Linked DNA regions of Tamandua tetradactyla. The protein of the gene in region 2 interacts with the protein of the main gene of each other region in a pairwise test. Links are inferred from orthologs where the notes say so. Each region holds a gene or a part of one and is shown on either strand. Other genes may lie near its edges.

Region 1 (7,876 bases), on a different chromosome or scaffold from region 2:
CGGTTCAACTCATTTTCAAATTCTAGTTTTCCAGCCAATTCTTCAATAGTTCGGATACTTGTATGGTCTTAAAAATAAGAATACTCAGCTTTACAATTCCATTAAGAGTTTTCAAAGACATTTCAAGCACATGTTTAAGAAGATAAATAGGTGATCACTCTTCCGGGATAGCACAAAGCTGGGAATTCGAGAGGCAGTGGAAAATTAAGGTGGGCTTGGGTTGCCCTCTTTTCAGGCCCTGGCATTTATCAAGCCCCAACCATCTGCCAGTCTCCAAGGAAGATCTAAGTGGGAGGATACAGAGCTGCACACCTAGATCTCAGGGACTTCCTGACCTATGGAGGCAACAAGAGCCGGGGTCATCCCAGATGACCCGGAGGCCCTTCAGAGCCAACAGTTTTAGGCAGTGTCCAAGGCTAAGCATCCCTTTACTAGGTTTGAACACTATAATACGTCATTTAAAAACAGGGCACTAACAGGGGGAACAAATGTTAAAATAAATTTAGATTGAAATGCTAGTGATCAATGAAAAGGAGGGGTAAGGGGTATGGTATGTATGAATTTTCTTCTGTTATCTTTTTATTTCTTTTTCTGAATTGATGCAAATGTTCTAAGAAATGATCATGATGAATATGCAACTATTGTTGATTACGTATGCTAGAATGGAATGATCATATGTTAAGAATGTTTGTGTTTGTTACATATTTTTTAAATTTAAAAATTAATAAAGAAATTTTTTTAAATAAAACAGGGCACATATAATTAACATACACAATACACAGATATGTGTGTGTAGAAAAAAACAGGATGTATATCCTGGGTGATGGAAGTATAGGGGAGCTTTGTGCCCTAATTTTTCTTCAAACTTTACATTACCCACCCCAGTGGGACGCCCTCTCCTCTCTGTCTATCTCCTGTTTCCTTCAGTTCTAAGCTCAACCACCACATCCTCAAGGACTGTAAGTAGATATTTCTGAAATGACTTGATGTGTGACCCCATCAAGTTGTAAGCTCCATGAGGGAAGGAACAGGGTTTGTTTTGCTCACTGCTATATATGCAGAGCATACTGTGAGCAAAATAAATCTTATGAATGAATGGTTGATAAAAAGTGTTGATGTCTTACAATTTTTAATCTAAGACATTTGCTGATTTAGGGGCCCATGTGGGCCAAAGGACAGGACAGATGTACCCTCTGTACTCACCAATCATATCCAGCAGATCCTTTGTGACCTCTTGAGTAGGACTGCTAAGTGGCATATTTGAGTCAACCTTCAAATCTCTCTCCGTATCTTTCCTATAGCCCCGGGTGAAAAAAAATGGGTGGGGATTAGATCCTCTTTCAAAAAATATCTGAGGGAAACTGAGAGTTTGTTATATAACTTAAGGATAAAAAACCAGTGAGGAAATTGACCAGTAGCATTATCATAATGACTCCCAAGCATCATAGACTTGCTTTACTGTTCCTGATAACCAGGGTTAATATTTGTGAAGTTGAACCAGTTAAATGGCCTCTTCATTCCTTGCCTACAGGGAAGCCAAGATAGCAGGACCTTGAAATTTCATCCCACAAGGTCAACCTTGCTCCAAATTGAGGCACTTGAGACCAAGCTGTTTGAAACTACCCAGGAGAACAGATGGTCAAGGGGAGACCTTAACCCAGTGATAGTCTATAAAACTTAGAGGTGGGGTAGATGGGTAGGCAGAGGCAAGGATGTAGCCAGGGAAGCACGGTCCAGCTACTGATACAACCTTTCTCTAATGTAGGCAGAGGAGAGTGTCAAGGCCCTGTGTCTAGGCTCAGAAACTAGAATTAAGATTTTTGTTTCTACAACTATGTGATAATATTGTGCGCAACTGATTGTACACCATGTATAGAATGTTTGCTATTTACAATAAAAATATTTAAAAATATTTTTGTTTCTGCCGCACAAAAAATAAGGTTACTTTAAAAATCAGGTTTCTTAACATTTACTGCAAAGTAGTTTCCATGACTGTTTCCACAACCAGGATTGTCAACAATCTCCTCTACCCTATCCAAACACAAATACACAACATGTTTGCTGGGCCTGAATCTGAAGAATGTCTGTGAACTATATAAACAGAAGGAAAGAGCAGTATGTGTCATGGAATCAATCTAGGATCGCCAACAATTTTTTCAGAAACAAGAAATCACTTACTTACAGAATATTAAACTATTAAATTAGAATCACCTTAAATGTTCTTTTCTCCAGTTTTCCCCATCGCCTGCAGCTCGCCAAGACTGACTTTCAGGTACCAAAATGGAGGGATGCATCAATACATTTTCCTTGCTGGTCAGAGGTTTTCTTTTTGGGCATAAAGCATGTGGTATTGTATTTATTGGGGCATGGTTTGGTGCAAGGGCAGGGCTCTCGTTTTCAGGAGCACATGGGACAGGCACAAATGGAGCAGGAGAGGAGCAGGTGACAAGCGGGTGTCTTCTGCAGAGGAACTTATGCACAGGGAAGGGGAAAGAGAGTGGCGAGGCGTCCAGTTCCAGCCTCCGGTGACCTGCGCACTCCTGGGAATGACTGACTCCTTCAAAGGCCCGATCAATGGCTGCAGTCAGCTCCTTCCTGCATCTTCTTAGTTTCTCAGACATTTCCCCTAAAAGCGACCATGTCTCTATTACGTAATACACTGAAAATGCACAAAGCAACTCGAGAATGATCCCATTACAAACGAGATGGCGAATCACCCGACAGGGCACTGAGTTGACCCCCCCCCCCCCCCCCCCCCCCCCGACGCCTTCCTCTCAAGGCCGGCAGGTATCCTCCGCCTTCCGATGGGCGGAACCACCACCCAGCCGCAGGAGACCCGGGGTGCCCTGCCTCGCCGCCCACTGCCTCCCGGCCCCGCCCCCGCCCGCCGCAATCCCGGCTCCGTGGCGAGCTCCGCACCCTGCGGCCGCGTCCTCACCAAGCAGTGCGGCGACACCGCCCGCCCTCGCCAACGGTCACGGCGCGCGCCCGGGCTGGGCGACACCAACCCCCTTGGTTCGGGTTAAAGGTCACACACAAAAGCCCGGCCTACTGTTCTTTGAACCCACACGGTGGGAGGGGACGCAAAGGCCCTGCACACTGAGAGGCGGTGGCCCGGAAGGCAGCCCAGGGGCGGGGCGGAGAGAACCCGGCTGGAGGGGCGGGGATTTCGCTTGTTACCAAAAGTTGGCAAGAACGGGAGCCCTTTTCTGGGCTGACAAACTCCTAAAAGGGCTCCCGTTCTCAAGCGAAAATGGAAACGACTGGATGGGAACAGCACCCAGCAGTTTTGTGTATCAACTTCTTTTAAGTAATATCTAACAGGTTTCACACAAGATCTAAATGTCTCCGTTCATCAAGGTTGGCGAGAGATATAACACAACTGCTCAGTTCTACGAGAGGTTGAGGGATAGGAGACCCCTTTCCCCCACTGAATGTCTCCATTTCATTGGAGGAGAAAAAGGTGAAGTTCCAAGAAGACCCAGAGGAGAGACAGCAATGGACTTCAGTGACTAACTTTCCTGGAATTATAAACCCAACTCAGAGCAGGGTAAGGGAGGAGGCACCAATGCCAAGTTTACTTGAGGCTTGGTTTACTGTGGGCAGACTATTGGAGTGATCAGCATTCGGCACCAGAACCAGAAATCAGGAACCGAGGGTGGCCCTGCAGCAGGTCGTCCTAGCTGCACCAGGATCAATTACAATGTGTTCCTCTCCAGTCTCTGGAATCCATCACACACACTCCACTGTGCCCCCTGCCCCCCACCCTACCCCCCTCCGCAGCTCCACAGGTTTTACAGAAATTTTTCACCACCCATATAAAAAGTAAAATAATTCAGCCTCTTGACATAACCCTTCTGAGCAAACAAGGTCTTTTTTTTTCTTCTGCCCATAAAAGAAGGGAATTTCCTCATCTGTTTTTTAGACTGAATACTAGCAGTCTTCAGAGGGTCAAAGACATTCTCCTAGGGAATTACACTGGTACAAGGGGGTGGCAGGGTCACAGAGGCAGCATCAGTTGGTGTCCATGCTGCAAGCCTCGTCATCCCCCAAGCTCTGCTGTGAGCTGCTTGGCCTCGTCCCTCCATCAGAGGAACCCGGAAAACCAATGAGTGAAGGCGTCTTATAAAACTCATCATCTCGACGCTGGTAAAACAGCACGTAAGCTGCTTTCGTCTAAAACACAAGAAGGAAAAAGTCCATTGATTGGTTGGTCTGGAGAACCCACTCTCCCCGGCTTCTCTCTCACTGCTCCAAACACACAACTTTAGGGGATCTGTGTATCCACACAGAGGTGACTGTGGAGGCTCTTTCACTTGAGGTTGCCTCATGTTGACCCTGCCAGGGAATGACACAGAACGCTGAAGGGAGTTAGCTTCTTGGTTAGGCAATGTCCTGGAAAGAATAGCAGCCAACTCTTTTCTCTGCTACAGCTAGCTCCCACTGTCACAGCAGGCTGACCAAATACCATACTAGCCCAAGACCCTTCCCAACTTGAATCCATAAAGTTAAGAGGAGGAGCCAGATAATGGGGCCTACTCACCACTATCTGATCCTCAGAAGCCAGGGACACATTGCTATCATCAAAATAGTACCATTTCCCATTCAGTTTGTTCTTTGCATATGCTGTGTCTGCAAAGTCAACAAAGAAAACACTGTAGCAATCACCAGAGAGTGAAACTGGCAAGCTTATTAGATAAACTCCTACTAAACAATATTTCTTAACCAAAAGAATAAAAACCAAAAGACAACAAAAAAGTTGAAATTAAAATATATACTTTGTGTCTTCTAAAAGACAATTCACCCTTTTGTTTCTAATCTCCTCAAAAAGAATACATAAAAGGGTCAGAATAAAGCTGTCAGAGACCAAGGTTTTATACTATAGTTTTTGGAAACTAATCCAAAAGATAGAGAAACCCAGTGTCAGTCACTGGGCTTGCTGCAATACTCTAGAGGATGGAGCCCCAAAGATGGAACTCACACTTCTGAGATTTATCAAGCTATAGCTCTCAAAAGAGTATGCCAAATCAGACTCCCCCACTGTGTCCAGAAAGACGGCAACTGTTATCAGCATGAGACTCTTAATCCCTGTGGAGCCTGTGGGATAATTCCTGTTAGGGATAAATTGGGTGTTTCAGTTTGCAAAGCAGGCAAAGAACGACCTAGGTAGGATGCAGACAAGAAGCCTTAAATTTATTTTTCTCTAAAACTGAGTCAAGAATCTATGGTTGGTATGTATGCAATATTTGTATAAGAATGCTTGTGTTTATATGTTATCAATAAAAATATTTAAATAAAGAAAGAATCTGTGGTCAAGGATGGGGGGTGGGGCACACGGGTAATTCAGTGGTAGAATTCTTGCTTGCCTGGCAGGAGACCAGTGTTCAATTCCCAGCCCATGCACTACCTTCCAAAAAGAATGTATGGTTGGATAGTAATTCCACACAATGGCCCAAGTATTTTCCCTCAGCTAACACTTTCTATCTTGATTTATGCTATTTGCAGGTAGGATGTAATTATAACAGCAATCCCAGAAGCAACCCTCAATTCCTGCTTCCCCAGTCTTTAAGATGCTGCAGAATCTAATGGAGCTCTTGCTGTGTGACCCTGGGCAAGCTTTTTAAACCCCTCAGCTTCACTTTCCTCACTAAAGAGCCTAGTGCATGAGGTGTGATGAGGAACCTGGAAAAAAGCAACAGAGAAGGGGTTCAGGGGCTCATCCACACTGTCTGGGCATAGCCAAACAGCAGCAGTGGTGGCTCGTTCTTGGAGTTCCAACTTTGGGCCCAATGTGGGCTGGGCACCAGATACTACACAACCATCCTAATCTGTCAGATGGTAACGGTGAGGCACAGAGGGGCTGAAATACTTACCCAGTGTTATGTGCTAAAATGGCAGTTAAAAATGAATACATTTGACCAGTATGCATAAAAACAGGTAACAAAATTAATGTTGGGAGAAAAACGCAAGTTGCAAAACAGTGAGTGCTCTAGGATATATGATCAGAGACTGCTAATAGCCACTCCAGCAGGGACAGTTTTAATTTCCCAGCCCTGCAGCCAGATGTAGTCACATGGCCAACTTAAAGCCAAGGCAATGCATGTAGAGGAGTTAAAGAGGCTTCTGGGAGATCTGCTTAAAAATGGCATGGAAAGCAGACATGAAGGCTGGAGACTGAAGAGCTATCCTGAGCCAGGAGATGATACCTAGTAAGAATGGTGGGGCAGCAGTATTGAAGAAGCATGGAGCCTGAGGCCTGCGGAGCTGTCAAAGTAAAATGTGAGAACACTGCCTGGCTTACATGGATAGTCTGGTGAGAGCTGACTGGCTGAGGGCGTTTCAACATTTCAGAAGGAAGCAGATGCCAGTACTTACAGTGGCCAACCCCCATGGCTCCATAATGATTGGACACAGCAATGAGGTCGTATACATAGGGCCTTGCTGACAGGTCACAGACAAACTCGGACATGTTCAGAGCTCTGAGCACAAAATGCAAAATTAGCCCTTAAGTATGTTAAACTCAGAGAAAGAAAACAAAGCAACCCAGCAACATCTTTTATGTAACAGGCTAGAACACAGAAAGGCACCCCAAAATCAGTTACAGAATGAATGAATGAATGAACAGATCAGAAGAGACCCTGGAGGTCTGTGTCCTGACAATGTTCAGCACAGAAGATGGAAGAAGGCTGGACAGCATGACCACCAGATCAAATGGCGAAGAAGTTGGTGAACAGATATTTAGTAGCTGTGCTCTTTAGCAGCTATGTAAAAGTGGCTGTTGCAAACAGAATTATAACTGGTGCTATAATAATTTAAGCTAAATACCCACAACAGGCCTAAGAATGCTTTTTATCCCAACATTTTATTTTGAAAATTTCAAACACACAGAAAAGTAAAAGAATCTTACAACAAATATTCATATACCCAAATCCGAGATTCTACCATTGACATGTCTATAATTCACATATCTATCCAACCCCATGGAAAGCTGTTTAAAGTCTGCTTTTTGGGCCCCACATGGAACCCAGTACCACAGTAGCCAAACTCAAGGACTCCTCTCACAGCCCACAGAAAAATTCTGAGATGGGATGGACCTTGAGGACATTATGCTGAATGAGATTAGCTAGAAACAAAAGGACAAATACTGTATAGTTTCCTGATATGAACTAACATTAATGAGTAAACTTGGAGAATTTCAGTTAAGAACAGAGGTTATTAGGAGATAGAATACGGTAGAGATTGGGTAACTGGAGCTAAAGGGATACAGATCATGCAACAGGAGTGATTGTAAAAATTCAGAAATGGATAGCACAATATTACCTGACTGTAATATAATAATGTAAGTACACCGAATGAGGCTGAATGTGAGAATGATAGAGGGAGAAGGGCTAGGGGCACAGAAGAAACCAGAAGGAAAGAGAGACGATAAAGACCGAGATGGTATAATCTAGGAATGTCTAGAGTGTACAATGATAGTGACTAAATGTACAAATTAAAAAATGTTTTTGCATGAGGAAGAACAAAGGAATGTCAGTATTGCAGAGTGTTGAAAATAGATGGTAATTCATATTTTAAAACATCAGCTTCTGTGTGAGACTAAAGCAAGAAATGTTTGGTACAAAATTTATATTTTGACTAGTGTATTTCTTAGTTTAATGTATGTGGACAGGGTAAAATACATGGAACCTTGAATAGGGCGTGAAATTTTGAAGGTTTGTCCAGGTTAGTGTGGTGCCCTGATTAAATCCCAGAGTGATTTGAACACTGAATAAAGAAGTATTTGCAAAGTCCCCTTAGGAAAATAGGGAGAAATGGGGAAAATTCAATTTCCCCACTTGGAGAATTCCTGATATTCTTGCAAGCAGTGGGGACAACC
Region 2 (8,383 bases):
CCAATGGCTGCCAGAAATACTTCTCCCTTTGTAGTCAAGAACCCAGAAAGCCTGAGGCATGAACAAGATTCTGGAAACCACAACCCAGGCCAAAATAGCTTCTATAAGATTTTTATTGTGCTCACATATTTTATTTTTTAAATGACAAGTTTACACATTAATCCAAAACACATACCAAAGCTCATTATGATGAACATATATTTGGTCTTATCTACCATCAAAATTTCATTTAGGAATTCTGGAAATGACACCATGCCTTTTCTATGGCTTTTGCACATCCAGTAGCAGACTAAGAAACTGTCCAGAGTACAGTTACCTCAAAAGTATAGGCTTATAAAGATGAATAAACTCTGCTTGCCTCTTCCACTTCATCTCCCACAAGTACCTCCACATTCTGAAGTTCCAATTCACTGGCCATCTCCTGTGGGCTGGAACTCCCCAGGTGTTCGCTCACATTGCTTCCTGTGCCCCATACACCTTCACTTATTTCTACTTTCAGAAGCTGTACTCAACATTCAAGGCCAAGTTAAAACACTTGCTCTAAAAAGCTTTCCCAGACTCCCTCCTCAGTGTTTCCACAGGAGCACACTCTATTGTTATTTGTTTCCATTTCTGTACCACACACCTCGTGCCAATCCATGAATTACTTTTATATTCAAAATACTTTGCCCAAAATAGGGAGCACATCACATTCCCACGGACTGAGTGACTAAACATGCTTGCACTGCCGAAAAGCAAGAGTTTGGCCAGAAGTTTCTTCTTCTTTTTTTTTTTGCATGTGCAGGCACTAGGAATAGAACCCAAGTCTCGGGCTTGGCAGGCGAGAATTTTGCCGCTGAGCCATTGCACCACCCCAGAACTTAATTTCTTCTAAGAATGGAAGCGTTTTGTCATCTCTTCCCTGTATCATCTTCCAAAAGTAATTTTCCCTCACAGAAAAAGGCTTACTGAAAGCCTCATAAACTACAGCAGTTTACCCCCTTTTGATGATGCCAACACTCAGATAAGAATATCCATTTCAAAAGAAATTTATTTATAATTCTTTAATTGACACACATAGAGGATTTGGCCATCTGAACAAAAAGAAAATTTCAGACAAAGGCTCTCTAAGTCTTGTTTTTCAAGGCAAACCAACACATTCCACGTTTGATTTTGCCCTCAACTCCATCAGGTCTATTACCCTGATGAACTAGAAAGGACTTTATGAGCCCTAATGATGCTTTTTCCTTTCTCCAGACTCTCCACACTTCTGTAGATTGTCTCTTTAATGCTATACTCTGAAGCCCCTATAATGTGTTGAGGGCATCACAATGGTGAAGCACACCCATCATTTTATTCAAACTTCTATGTCATAAACTTCTGAGCTAGGTTGTCTAAATAAACTCACCTGACAAAATACACAATATATATCAGACCATGTGCTACACAACATAGCTCTCCTCCTTTGTTTCATACAGGAATTAAAGTTTCAAAATATTTACAAATCCATCTTCCATCTTCAACAGTCTTCTAGTTCTTCCCAGTCTGATCCAAAGCAATCTCGTTTATACATTCTTCACCAGATGCAACCCAGCAGTGCTTCCCAGTGCACCTCTAAAGTTGGAAGATTCTGATCACAAGTCTTTACATGTTCCAAAGTTCCAGAGAGCAATACTAGGTCATGCCCAACATTTCAAAAACACAGCAAAACAACAGAATAAATGTGACCACTGAAACAACTTTTGATTAAGCCCCATTCCCCTCATGAGAGTATTTCTCAAACAAAAATTATTTTTACAGATTCAATTACATCTGACAATACAAACCTGTATCAAAGTCATCAACCACCGACCATGAAGGAGACTGTTACATGGGGGTAAAAAACATTCAAAAACAAAACAGTAAAAATGACAAGCTGTTTCAATTTCTTCAAGTCCACTCTTACCCGCTGACCAGAGTCCATCAGCTGTGAACCTAAAGCACAATTGGAAGAAATTTACCATCAAGACATTCTGAGTCTCAGATTTCCATATCCTGATGTTTAAAAACTTTTACAAACATCTAAAGAATGTCACTTCTTACAGACAAGGTGCTGCCACACACCCGTCTTCCAGAAAAATCTGGGAATTTCTATCTCTCTCTGCCTGTGTTCTCACCCACCCTCCCCTAGTTTGCTCTAACAGCCTGGTTCCCCGCCTCCCCCTTCCTTAGCGCGGAGGCAGGTGTATCCCCGGCGACTGTACTACCACAGCTGACGCTTATGTTTCAAGAAAACGAACTTGAACTTTTCTCTATTACCAGAGCGGGAGGAGGAGCTTTACAAAACAGTATCTACTAACAGCTAACCAAACGAACGCATTTATTTTCCCCATCGCCCCCATTCCCCATCTTTAATGCAGCAAAATTGGGGGACCACTCCCAGAACGTTACCATTTTTAGAGGATGCTGTTTAATCGTGCTATGACAATTACCGAAACATCAATCCAGCTCCCGCCGGAGGCCGGCCACACCGCCACTCCCCCTTCAAGACGATTCGCTTTTCTCTATTCGCCAGACTAGCTCGACCAACATCTCTGCCATCTTCGCAATCTCTTTAGCCTTTTCCTCGGCCTTCTCACACAATTCCGACACTCTCTCATCGGCGTCTCCGTGTGGGTTCTGCACGTGATTCAAAGCGCTCTCTTCCGACGCCTCCACCTGCGTTTTTATTTGGATGAGCATATTGTCCATCTCCCACAACTTGCTCCTGGTCCTCAAATACGCTCTTCCGTGCTCTCGTATGAGCGATGCGATGTCCTCCCGCATCTCGTGGATGACTGGAAGCAGGAATTGCTCGAAATCTTCCTCCGGTTCCAGCAATTCGACCTCCTCGGGGGCTTCCACCTCTTCGATGTCCAAGGGCCGCATGTTCTCCCGCTACCCCTTCAGAACCTCAGTATCGACGTCCTCCTCACGCGCGCCCCCCCGGGGAGGGCTGATCACGTCGCTGCCGGACTGCAAACCGTGACCAGAATTCCCGGCTTACCCTTAAAACGCTTCCTCCGCTTAAACCCTTCGATTCACAGCTGGGACGCAGAGAACGCCTCGCAGAAACGCAGCGAAGCGGCCCACAAAATGGACTCGCCGCCGTCAACCGGCGCTCTGCGTCTTTGCGGCCCTTTCACGACACGGCTGCGGCCCTTTACGGTCACGCCTCCAAAAAACTCAGGGCTTGGGCGCGCGCACGTAACAGGATCGCGGGTGTGCGCATGCTCGCCTCTCTTCTCCGCTGGTGCCCGCTCCATCCCCTCGGGGGGACGGGACGACCGTAGAGGTTTGCTCGGCACGTCAGAGGCGGCTTCTGTGGACGGATTTTTACTTTTTTAAAACAATATGTGCTCTCGGGCCATGCTTTTATTATTTAAAAAAAAGCAATATATGCAAAAGCAATCCCACACCCCCACCCCACCCCGTATTTGGATAAGACTCCTTGGTGTCCCCAGCATTCTATGGGGGCCGAGCAAGCACTGCTCTGAAGTGCTTAAGTTACGCTGAATGAACTCACTTAACCCTCACAACAAACCCGTGAGCTAGGCCCACAGGTGGGGACGTAACTAAAATCCAAGCTCATGATTAGCATTTGAACCCCGAGCAATTTGGGTCCACAACCCCTGTTCTGAGCTACCGGATTATGCGCCCTCGCTGGGACAAAGCCCTTCAGCCCAAATCCGTGGATGCTGATAGCCCCTTTCATTCCCCTCTTCTGTACTGGAGAAATTTCTTTGACTACCTGGGTTACTATGGTCTGTTTTTTTGGTCTCTCTTCATCAGACCAAAAGCTCCCCAAGGGAAAGGTTCACTTTTGGTTCAGGTCTGCGCTCAGCCCCTGCCGGCAGCCTGGCATCAGGTAGGGCCTTTCAGAATGTTTAAGAGAAAAGGAATTTCTCCCTAAATTATCAAGTGCTTCCGTGAGACTGTAGGCTCCTGGAGGGCAGTTCTGGTCTTGGTCACCTGTGTGCCCCCACCCGCAGGACCTGGCGAACAGCTGAGTAAACGTTGCTTTCATATTCATTGACCATGTGATTTGATCACTGAAAGTGTGTCATTGTGGGATGGATGACGTACATTTCTAGGCTTGTCACCCAATGTCACACTTGGAGTAATTTGGGGAAATCCCGCTTGCTTGCATGCTAAAGATAAGAACATCAGTTTTCCAGTCCCATTAAAGGCCAGTGATCCCAGTCTTCGTATCTGTCGGTGGTGAGAGGTGTAAGTGAAACAACGTGCATGCAAATGTTTTGCAAACCTCAAAGTACTAGCAGATGTAAGTGTGCTTGTGTATTATAACTCTGCTTGTGTAAATTGTAGTGCTTGATATCAAAGATTTTGGAGTCAGAGTAATCCAGAATTAGCTCTAATTCTTCCAATTATTTGCTCTGTGGCTTTGGACAAGCTGGATAACCTGAACATACCTCTCTGGGTCTCTTTCCCCCTCTTATCCTAAGGTGGGCATTGAGGATAGTGATTTCCTAAGTAGGGGACCATGTGGCCCAATATTTTAAAACTCATGTCCTGGTGTGATAATTCCCTACTCTAAAAAGTTTCTGGTTTGATAAATTAGCCTTTATTAAGATTATGAACTGCTGTTCATCAAAAGGCACTATCAAGAGAATGAAAAGGCAAGACACAGAGGGCAGAGAGATATTTTCAATAAATATGTCTGACAAAGAATTCATACTAAAAAATATTGAGAAGTACAACAGATCAATAACAGAAAGTTAATTATTAAATTGGCAAAAGACTTGAGCCAGGATTTTATTGAAGAGGACATCCAAATGGCCAATAAATATGAAAAGGTGCTCAATTTCATGATTCAGCAGGGACATGCTTATGAAACCACAGTGAGACAGCACTAGACATCCACTAGCATGGCTAAAATTAAAACCACTGACAATACCCAAGTACTGTGGTGTGTGTGTGTGTGTGTGTGTGTGTGTGTGTGTGTGTGTGTGTGTGTGTGTGAAATATGGTACATTGAATTGTGTTCCTTGCAAGTCCTAACCCCTGGTCCTGTGGGATTAATTTGTAAATAGGATCTTCAATGATGCTTTTTACATGAGGTTAAATCTAACCCAGGTGGGCCTTAGTCTATTGTGACTGGAGTCCTTATGAGGAGAGGAAGTTTAGACAGACAGATGATTGAGCAGCAAGAGAAGAAGCCAGAGGAGAGGGCAGAAGGAAACAGATTACCATATGTTCTATTTACTAAGCTGCTGAAAGCAGATACCATAAAATGCTCTGGGGCGGGGGAGGGGGTTGCGGTACAAGGGTAGCTCCATGATAGAATTCTTGCCTGCCATGCAGGAGTCCGGGTTCGATTCCCCGATCCTGTACTTCCCCCAAAAACAAACAAACGAAAAATACCTCCTTTAGGGCCTAGAACATCAGCTAGTCCCATCTCCCAACCCCATATTATTGACAGCCCCTTCCAACATAAAAAAGTTAGAATGGCCATAGCCCAAATACCCCTAAAGATTGGGATTGAAAGATCAGAGGTGATGGTGGAGTTAAACAGAGAAGGTAGAGTTCAAAAAACGATTATGATTGCTGAATAATATCGATATTTCTTTCAGTCTCCAGTATCTTAGGATAGTTAGAAGTAAAAACCCAAAACTGTGGAATTGCAACCCATACCAAGCTCTGAAATCTGTTCTACAACTAATTGTTGTGCTGTGATTTGAAATTTCATTGCTTTTTTTCTGTTTATGTTATTTTTCACAAAAAAGAAAAAAAAGTCAATTATGATTATAGAAAATGTATATTTATTCCTTCTAGCCTCCTATATTCTGGAGCAGCTAGAAGGAAAAATCTGAGAGGATGGTAGCCCGTGGCAAACTCTGGGCTCTCTTGTTGAAGAGTGCTTTGAAAACTATTGCTTTTTTCTTTCTTTGTTTTGTATATATGTTATAGTATACAATAAAAAAAAAGTTTTTAAAAAATGCTCTGCCTCTATCTATGGGAACTTATTAGCTTACAGGCTTACAGTTTTGAAGCCATGAAAATTTCCAAATCAAGATGTCATCAAGATGGTGCTTTTTTCCTGAAGACTGGCTGCCAGCAATTGGCAAGGCGCGTGGCAGTGTCATTTGGTCTCCCTATTCTTCTGAGTTTCTTTGCTTTCAGCTTCCTGTTTCCATGGCTTCCTCTCTCTTTGTCCAAATTTCATTCTCTATAAAGGGCTCCAATAAGAGGATTAAGACCCACCTGAATGAGGTAGGTGATATCTTATTAAGATCCTACTCACCAAAAGATCCTACCCACAGTGGGCCCACAGCCGCAGGAATGCATTTTGGTGGGTACAGCTTCAAATCCTCACGCCATGGGATGGAGCAGAGATTGAGCCAGCACCAGAAAGCTACAGCTTCAGAGAACACATAGCTTACCATTACGTCAATTCTGGACTTCTTGCCTCCAAAATTGTAAGACAATAAATTCCTATTGTTTAAGCCAACCAGTTCATGATATTTTATTTATTATACCAGGCCTGACAAACTAAGACATGGAAGAATTGGGCTCTCGTACACACTATTCCTGGTGGGAATATGCATTGGTAAAACCTTGGGGAACTGTTTGGCAGGACCTGTTAAGGTTAAGCATATACCAACCCCATGACCTAGTAGTTTGACTCCTTGGTACATACTCAAAAGATTTTGAATTCCTATGTACACAAAAAGACACACACAAGAACACACATAGCAGTTGTATTATGAGCCCCAAAGTTGAAATAACCCAAATGTCTATCAGCAGGAGAATAAATAAATTGTAGTGTACTTTTTCAGTGGTATATTAGTTATATATTGCTGTGTTACTAGTTATCCCCAAATTTAGCATCTTAAAACCACAAACTTTATCTCACCTGGTTTGTAAGGGGCTGGGGGTCCCTCACAAGGTTGCAGGCAAGCTATTGGTTGGGGCTGCAGACATCTCAAGGCTTGACCAGGGCTGGAGGACCCACTTCCAAGATGGCATATTCATGCGGGTGTCAGAAGCAAGCTGGCCAAAGGCCTCAGTTCCTTGCTTTGTGCTCTCAGATGAGCAGTTTTTTCAGACTGCTTCCTTTTTTAAAAAAATTAGGAGGATCAAAGCTCTCTTCGTTTTGCACTGTCTCTGTCCCCTCCAGTCCAAACTATAGTGTTTCTTCTAATATAATTATCTTTAAAATATCATAGGAATTGGTAGAGTCATTACCAGGGGCTGGGGTGGGTGGGTAGGGAATGGGTAATTAATGCTTGAAGTGCTCAGAGTCTCTGTTTGGGGTGATGGGAAAGTTTTGGCAATGGACTGGGATGATGGAGCCCAACAATGGGAACATAATTAATGGCACTGAAACATATATTTGAATGTGACTAAAGGGGGGAATTTTAGGTTGTGTATATGTTACTAGAATAAAAATTTTTAAAAAGTAGGACTGTACAACACAACGAACCCTAACGGAGTCCTTGGACTATAGTTAATAGTACAATTACAATAATATTCTTTCAGTTGTAAAGAATGTAACACAATAATGCATGCTGTTAACAATAGGGGGTATATGGAACTCTGTATTATCATTTTTATGTAAACCTACAAATCTCTAAAAAAAGGAAAAAAGAAAGAAAAAGACACCCTAGGACTCTTCTGAATCTCACTGGGGTGCACTCCATTACACAAAAACCCACACCTGCAAAACCTTCTTGGGCTTCTGCTGATAATACTGAGGAACAAACTCTTAAAGAGTCCTAGAGGAGGCTATTTCACAGGGAGAGGAGGAGATATTCAGATCCTTGTAAATGAGGAAATTTCCAACGCCATGAGAGTGTGACCAAGACAAGACACATATTCAGAAAATTCAGGAGAAGATACCACGCTTTCATCTCAGGCCGATCTGCAGTTTCATTGGCAGGAGAGTGAAACTCTGAAGCAGAGTAACAACCACCACAGAACCAATTTGCAAAGACTGTGAAAAATGGTTTTCGTGATGCATTTGTTTTTGTTAGCTGCTGACATGTAAGAAAATCTCTGTCATATCACTATCTGGGTTCGGACTTAAGGAACAGACAGATCAAGGGCTAAATTCCGTTGTTAGCACATTAAAATATTAAAATGTACCAAAAAACCCAAAACAAACAGGAAACTATGGCCCATCCAAAGGAACAAGATAAACCATCAGTGATTTAATTAGGTTCTCTAGAGAAACAACCAAAAGGAGATATCTGTAAATATAAGATTTGTAAAGGTGTTTCATGCAAGAGTAGGAATGAGAGTCCAAATCCACAGGGCAGGCTGCGAGGCTGGCATCTCCAATAAAGGGTCTTGATGAACTCCATAGGAGAGGCTCGCTGGCTGAAGATGCACTGAAAATTCTGTCTTCTTCCTTAAAAGTCTT
Region 3 (7,225 bases), about 3.1 Mb from region 2:
CCAAGGGTGAAAGCCTCCCTGGCAGCATGGGAGATGACTCCCAGGGATGAGTCTGGCATCAACACATTCCTGACCAAAGAGGGAAAAGAAATGTAAGAAAATAAGGTATCAGTGGCTAAGAAAGTTCAAATAGAGTCAAGAGATATTCTGGAGGCTACTCTCTTATGCAATCTTTAGCTAGATATTGCTAATTGTCATGGTTTGCCAACCCCCAACCAAAACCACCCCTGTTAATCCTAAAGAACACCTAGGGTTCTATCTGAGATTCTACAAAAGTTTCATGCACTAAGATTACTTTCCAGAAACCTACAACCTCCAGAGGGTTCCTAGGCCAGATAGGTCCAGAGGAGCCAGCCTCTCCAAGAACATGAGCTAGTTTCATCTCCCTATTCCATACTGTCAACACCCCTTTCCACATGAAAAAGTTAGAATGGGGATAGCCCAAATACCCTAAATTGGGAGAAGGATCAAAGGAGAAGATGGAGTATAACAGAGAAGATAGAATTAAACAAATGAGTATGATTGCTGAATCATTATATTGATATTTCTTTTAGTTTCCAATGCCTTGGAGCAGCTAGGAGGAAAATGCTGATATTATGGAACTGTAACCCATACCAAACTTTAAAGTCTATTCTATAACTACCTGTTACAATGCACTTTGTAATTTATTACTTTTTTGCATATATGTTATATTTCACAATTTAAAAATGTTTTTAAAATGTAACCGAAATAATAGAAGTGAAGAAAAAAGGTTACTATTCTAAAATACTTTTGTTTTGAAGAATTTAAAGTCTATCTTAATTTACACATAGAAGGTCACACAAGAAAGTGGAACAGTGCTTGTGTGTGGGGTCATGTGAGGTACTTAAGAGAAAGGGGTAGGAGAAAAGCATTTCAATCATTACTCTTTAGTAATTTTGAAATTTTTATTGTATTAATATATTACCTGTGCAAAAATAACAGATTAAATGAATCAATTTTAAATGAACCAATCAGGTATTACCTTAAAATAATGAAACTACCTACTTTGACGGCCAGCTTTAGAAGGATACCACTTGATACCCATATTTTGAAAATAAGCAAATTCAGGCTATGTCAAATCAGTGTACAAAACAGAAGGCATACTTTTAGTTTGACCCAGTGTTCGAACAAGACACCAGAGGACAGCAGGAAGGACTTCCTTCCCAACCCCAACCCTGCTTAGTGTTTCCCGATACAAGCAAAGTACAAATTTCCATGATACCTACCTCCTAGAGAAGCAATAAAATAAAAGATGGAAATGGATTTGGTTATAAATTACCTGCTACAGTGATAAGGCAAACTGTTTAAAAGTTTCCTTAGATACCCAAACAAGTTTTCACTCTTCAGAAGAAGGAATAAGTAAATATTCCTGTCCATCCTATTTCCTCAGTTTCTAATGAAACTCTCAGGACACAGAAGGGATCATATCAGAAACAGAAAGTGCAAGAAAACTTTACTAAAAATGAATCAATGAGGTTCTTTAAGGGGCTGCGTCTTGAAAACTGTACCTATTAAATGCCATCATGTGTACACATTCAGGTAAGAAATAAAATGCCTGAAGGGTGCTCCCTAACCTCTGTTAATCGCTAAGAGCAGAAAGACTTCCTGGGTTTTCTTAGAAGGTGTTTCTCTTCTTCTGGTTCAAAAATTCTCCCCACACACAAGCAGCAGAGATCCCTGGCTTACAGATAACACAAGCCTGTCATCAAGGAAGCTCTTTCACCGGCTTGCAAAAGACATCCCTGGAGTCTACAGACACCCCAGGTTCTACAAGCCTGAGGACAATACCAGCGAAATGTACACCTCATTCACCCACCCTCAGCAACGTGTCCTCTTTATTGCCAACAGAAAACAGGTGATAAACTTCAGCCAACTTTTCTTAATATTTAAATCAACTTTATTATTTCTCATTTGTTAATAACCATCATCTAATTACCTCATCACTTACTTGGCAACCACAGTTTAATCAAATGTCTGCAGACCCACACCTGAGCTTAGATTAGCAGGCCTGTTCAGTGACGCTTTAAACCACGTCGCTACCACTAGGACTCAGGAACTAAATGAAATGTCTTGGGAATTTGGGAACAGAGACTCAAGTCGGGCTCTCTCGAGCACCACTTTGAAAAAGGCTCTCCCATTGGACGACGTCCTCAGTCCCCCGCCTTCCCCCAACCACTCCGGCCCATAACAGCATTATGTCATCCACTATCCCCGCATCACCCCCAGCTCCAAGTCCTGGCTCTTCTCGAACGCCTGCACCCACAGCCCTCCTCCTCTCAAAGTCAGAAGAGAGAAGGGAGGAAGCCAAAAGGGTCGCAACCTGCGCTCTTCTAAATTCCCACCATCAAAACACAGCCGCGCAACCCCCCCTCCCCGTTTCGCGCAAAGAAAAACTATTTCATTCCCTAACTCTTGGCATCTGGGACAAGGCGAGAGGACTGGGGCCTTGGCCCCCTCGGTGAATTCGGGAGGAGCCCCAAGAAACCGCTACCTCCCTTCCCAGAATGACGGAGAGCCCAGCGGGGGGACCCGGAGGGGACAGAACATGCTAACCCGAGGCCCGGACTCGGCTCTCCCATCAGGAAAGCGCGAGTTTCTCTCTCCCGGGAGTTACGCGCCCGGGCTCGGGGACAAGGCTGCGCCGCCACCACCGTCGCGGCGGGGTCAGGGGTTGGCCGGCGACACAGATGCTGCTGCCCCCAGGCTGTCACCGGGAGGTCCCGCCCCGGGAGGGGAGGCAGCGGCAGGCCCGCCGCTCCGGGCCCCGACACTCACGGTCGGTGCAGCGGTTCCTCAGCCACCGCCGAGCTGGGCGGCAGCGGCGGCGGCTGCGGCTGCGGTGGCGGCTGGAGCGGCGGCGGCTGAGGAGGCTGGGGCGGCAGCGGCGGCGGCGGCGGCGGCGGCGGCTGCTGCTGCTGCTGCTGCTGCTGGAAGGACTTGAGGGACTCGAAAGCCTTCATCAGCTTTTCCAGGGTCGCCATGGCGGCCTCCCGTCCCGCGGGGCAGCCCCCGGAGCCCTGGGCCCGGCTCGCGGCGGCGGGGCGCCTTTCAGCAGTGAGGTAATGAATGGGGCACTGGGTCGCAAGCTGAGGGAGAACGGAGGATCTCGGCCATCTTAGAGCTGTCCCGGCAGCCCCCGCGGCACGCTACGTCCCGCGACGCTGCCCGGCGGAGGCGGGGACAGGCCGGACGACGTGATTGACGGCCGGGGAATGCAGCCTCTGCCAATGGCGGGTCCCGGCTCGGCCCACCACGCCCGCAGGCGCGCCCCACTCAGCCGCCGCGACGCCTGGCTCCCCCGCGCCCCGCCCCTGGGAAGGCGGGGCCCGGCCTGTGGGGGCGGGGAAAGCGGGAAAGGGGCTGAGCGCGCCAGGAAGGGGCGGTCCGGGGGCAGCGAGAGAAGAGGTGGAGGCGGCCGGAGAAGAGCGGTCGCCGGCAGAGGAGAGAACAGGGCAGGTGGCGACCCGGGACGCGTCGGGAAGAGGCGGAGAGGGGCAGGGCGATGGGAGCGGGCGAGGGGTGAGGTGGGAGGGGGCAGCGACGAGCCGGGGTGGGGCAAGGTGAGGGAGGGAGCGTGGAGGGGGCGGGAAGGGAGGCGGAGGCGTGGAGGAGGGTGGAGGGAGGAGGAGAAGGGGAGATGGGCAGTCCCGGAGGGCGCTAGGCGGAGGGCAGGGGCGCGGCGGGGCGAGGTGGTCCCGCGGCGGGAAGGGGTGCGGGGCCAAGGGGGACGGCGCGCGCGAGGGAGGGTTCAGGCAGCTGGGGTGGGGGAGAGATTGTTGCCCGTTGGGCGGCCGGCCCCGGGGAAGGGCGTTCCTGGGGCTCCCGGACAGGCGCGCGGACACTGTCCGATCTTCCCCGCCAGGCTCCGCGCGGATGGGGTCTGGGGGGTGGCAAGCTAGTAAGAAATGAAGCCTTGAGTAGTAACCAGCTTGACCAGAGCACAGACATTAAAGGTCAACAGACCCACCCCTGAAAGGGTGAAGAATGTATTGTGAAAGCATTAAAACTCCCGTTCCCTAAGCGCTGTAGGTAACCAGCTCTCCGGAGACTGCTGACACCCCTAGGTAACTAAATTTCAGCCAGACTCAGCTGGACTTTGTAAATTGCTCCCTTCCTCTTGTTTGTGCAGGTCACTGATGTGCTCATGGGGAAAAATCTTCTAAGTCCCTAATTAAAATTCATTGGTAACTCTTTGTCTAGTGTGTTCTTTGGTCTTGATGTGGAGTTGGGTTTGAATATTTGGCGAGCCAGCCAGGAAACCAAAAAGCTGCAAGATGAAAGGCAGAAGTACTGGGAAAAGAGACTTCCCAGGATGGCCTGCAACAGGCATGTGGAGGCAGGTGCGTACTGTTCTGGATGAATGGGAGTCGCGGAAGAAGTATGGAGGTGCTTGTAACTCCCCAGCTGGACTAAAAATCCTGCTGTAACAGGCCACAGTACAGTTGGGATTTCATAAGAAAAAGGAAAGCTGCTGGGCTGCTGCAGCTGTGGCCTGGCTGTTCTTGGAGGCCATGCAAACAGCTATGGAAGAGGCCTTGACAGCGGAGGGGTAGTCACCCCCTAGAATAGGAACCTAAATTAGACATGGATGGGAGGGTGGTCCAAGTGGAGAGGAAAGATGCTTTAAATGAGAGGCTATGCCAAGCAGATGAAAATTGGAAATATTAGCATATTGTTGCACTAGGGTAAGGAGGAAGAAGTTACATAAGGTTAAGTCAGAACCCATCTGGGCCAGCAAAAAAATACATGTTACAGTGCAAGATTCTACCAGCTCTGAATTACAAGAGATTGGGACTTAGTATAGACAAAAACCTAAAGAACTTTTATCAAATTGGAAACTGCAATTGTGGGACACTGGTGCCTATGGTTTACTGCTCTCTGGGCATGAGATGAGTAAATTGTCCTCTCTCACCACCTATCTTTCTCTGTGTCGATGCATGTATTCATTTGCCCCCAAAATGGAAACAAATTTGCTATTTAATTGGCTTATATTACAGTACAGAAGGTGTGGCCCATTGAGGGGGATCTGCCCCATTGCAACCCCCACTGGAACACCACTGATGAACTACACGATGTATTAAGGGAGCTTGGGATGAAACATGCAATTTAAATGCTGGGTGCCATTGGACCAGAGAGTGTAATTTATGCTACAGGAATTAACAAGACAATTCTACATACTGATCCCAATAGTGATAGGGGACTTTGGTGCCCACTTATAGGACAGCCCATCTCACAGGCTACCCAAATGATTGCACACTTGGGAGAGACAGATCGCCTAAGGCAGAGGGGAGCTCAAGTCAGAGCTATGGGTCAAATCCCAAGGGGACATGATGGTCTGAACCAGGTGTCAAACAGACAAATGTAGACATACCTAATAGATGCTGAAACTAAATTGAGGATATTGATGGGCAGCCAAATGGAGTATCAGTTGGACTGTGGAGCAAGTGGTCCAAGGAGCAGAGGTTTACTAAGCTTGAAACCAGGTCACTAGAGGAGAACATGGATTCTGGCTCAAAGACTCAGCCAACACCACCTAAAGAACCCTCCGCCCCCTGACCCAGGAGGTCTGGAAGGCCCCCTTCCCCCTTGCATAGGAGATAGGTCAAGATCCCCAAGAAAAATATATGGGGACACTGGGGATCAGAGGCCACATATAGAAATGACTCCCCCACTAATGAGCATAGAGTTTTGGGCTTAGTAGACAATGAAGTGGAATGTACCTTAATATATGGGCAACGGCCACAAACTGGGAGCCCTACACTAACCATTGCTGGATACATGGGCGAAGGCATTGAAGCAACTCAGCAGCAATTATTAATGCAAGCTGGCCAATTACCACCTCAAACATATATGGTATACATATATCTCCTATCCAAGAGTATATATATTAGTAATTGATATCTAGCAAAATATTATCTTGCAAAGTACCATAAGTGAATTCTGCCTCTGGTGCTGTACTGGTTTAAAGCTATTATGTACTCCCAGAAAAGCCATGTTCTTTAATCCTCATTCAGTATTGCTGGGTGGGATCTTTTTTAATGTTTCCCTGGAGATGTGACCCACCCAGTTGTGGGTGGTACCTTTTGATTAGGTGGTTCCCATGGAGATGCATTGCCACCCATTCAAGGTGGAGACACTTACTGGAGACCATTAAGAGGGAACCATTTTGGAAGAAGTTTCAGAGCCAAGAGAATCCACACAGCCAAACCTTTGAAGATGCAGAAGGAAAACACCCCTGAGGAATCCTTATGAAATGAGAAGCCAAAAGAGAAAACTAGCAGACGTTGCTATGTGCCTTCCCAGCTGACAGAGGTGTTCCAGATGGCATCAGCCTTTCTTGACTGAATGTAACCTCTTGTTGGTGCCTTGATTTGGACACTTTCATGACCTTAGAACTGTAAATTTGCAACTTAATAAATTCCCTTTTTAAAAAACCATTCTGGTTTTGGAATATTGATTCTGGCAGTTTTAACAAACTAAAACAGGTACAGAGTGGTCCAAACATCCTGAGAAGATATGTTAAGTAGTCACAGGTGAAAGTACCTTCCCCCAGAAGCACTGTGGCACTGCATTAGTGTAAGTTGCCCAGGGGCCATCAAGAAATCACTGCCACTATTAAGAAATTACAAAGAGTGGGTACTATCATTTCTACTCACAGCCATTTTAATTGCCCTATCTGGCCAGTAAAGAAACCTGATGGAATTTGGTGAATGATAAATGACTATAGACAACTAAATACAGTAGTTCCTCCTTTATTTGCAGGTGTGCCAAACATTGGTATTTTGTTAAAGGTTGTAAGTACTCAGGCCAATTTCATTTTGTATTAACCCTTGTTAATACCTTCTTCAGTGCCTCTTTAGGTCTCTCCAGCCATTTGCATTTGCCTTCATGTGGGAAGGACAACAGTGGACATTTATTGTGTTGCCCCAAGGGTATTTTCATAGTCCTACTATTTGTCATGGTTTAGTTGCTCAAGACCTGAAAACATGGAAATCCCCTGAAAATATAACTTTTTTCCATTACATGAATGATGTTATGCAAACCATTAACTCTTTTTCATAACTAGAAACCTCTGCTAACCTAGTGGTGACCCACTTTGAAAGCTGGGAATGGGTGGTAAGTTGAAATAAGCTACAGGGACCCAGATGCTCTGTCAAATTTTTGGGTATTGCCTGGTCAGGTAAGAATAAAACTATTCTGCTGC

What was found.
Region 1: the proteins of MRFAP1L1 (region 2) and C15H3orf62 interact in binary tests that used the Homo sapiens proteins (3 or more experiments, as listed by UniProt). The two-hybrid records come from large-scale screens. The link is inferred for Tamandua tetradactyla from reciprocal best matches to the Homo sapiens genes MRFAP1L1 and C3orf62.
Region 3: the proteins of MRFAP1L1 (region 2) and HTT interact in binary tests that used the Homo sapiens proteins (3 or more experiments, as listed by UniProt). The link is inferred for Tamandua tetradactyla from reciprocal best matches to the Homo sapiens genes MRFAP1L1 and HTT.

The regions. Positions count from the first base shown.
Region 1 is NC_135341.1:36,968,876-36,976,751, reverse strand, and holds the start of C15H3orf62 (uncharacterized protein C3orf62 homolog), read right to left. Parts: upstream 3,199-7,876; 5' UTR 2,939-3,198; exon of another isoform or gene 2,920-2,938; intron 2,746-2,919; exon of another isoform or gene 2,627-2,745; 5' UTR 2,622-2,626; coding exon 2,212-2,621; intron 1,296-2,211; coding exon 1,204-1,295; intron 68-1,203; coding exon 1-67. Other genes in the region: USP4 (ubiquitin carboxyl-terminal hydrolase 4), read right to left, coding at 4,015-4,176, 4,544-4,632, 6,376-6,479. UniProt on the Homo sapiens protein: Essential for normal spermatogenesis and male fertility.
Region 2 is NC_135345.1:6,192,053-6,200,435, reverse strand, and holds MRFAP1L1 (MORF4 family-associated protein 1-like 1), read right to left. Parts: upstream 3,142-8,383; 5' UTR 2,887-3,141; coding exon 2,503-2,886; 3' UTR 2,451-2,502; intron 1,954-2,450; 3' UTR 96-1,953; downstream 1-95.
Region 3 is NC_135345.1:3,103,389-3,110,613, reverse strand, and holds the start of HTT (huntingtin), read right to left. Parts: upstream 3,199-7,225; 5' UTR 3,003-3,198; coding exon 2,797-3,002; intron 1-2,796.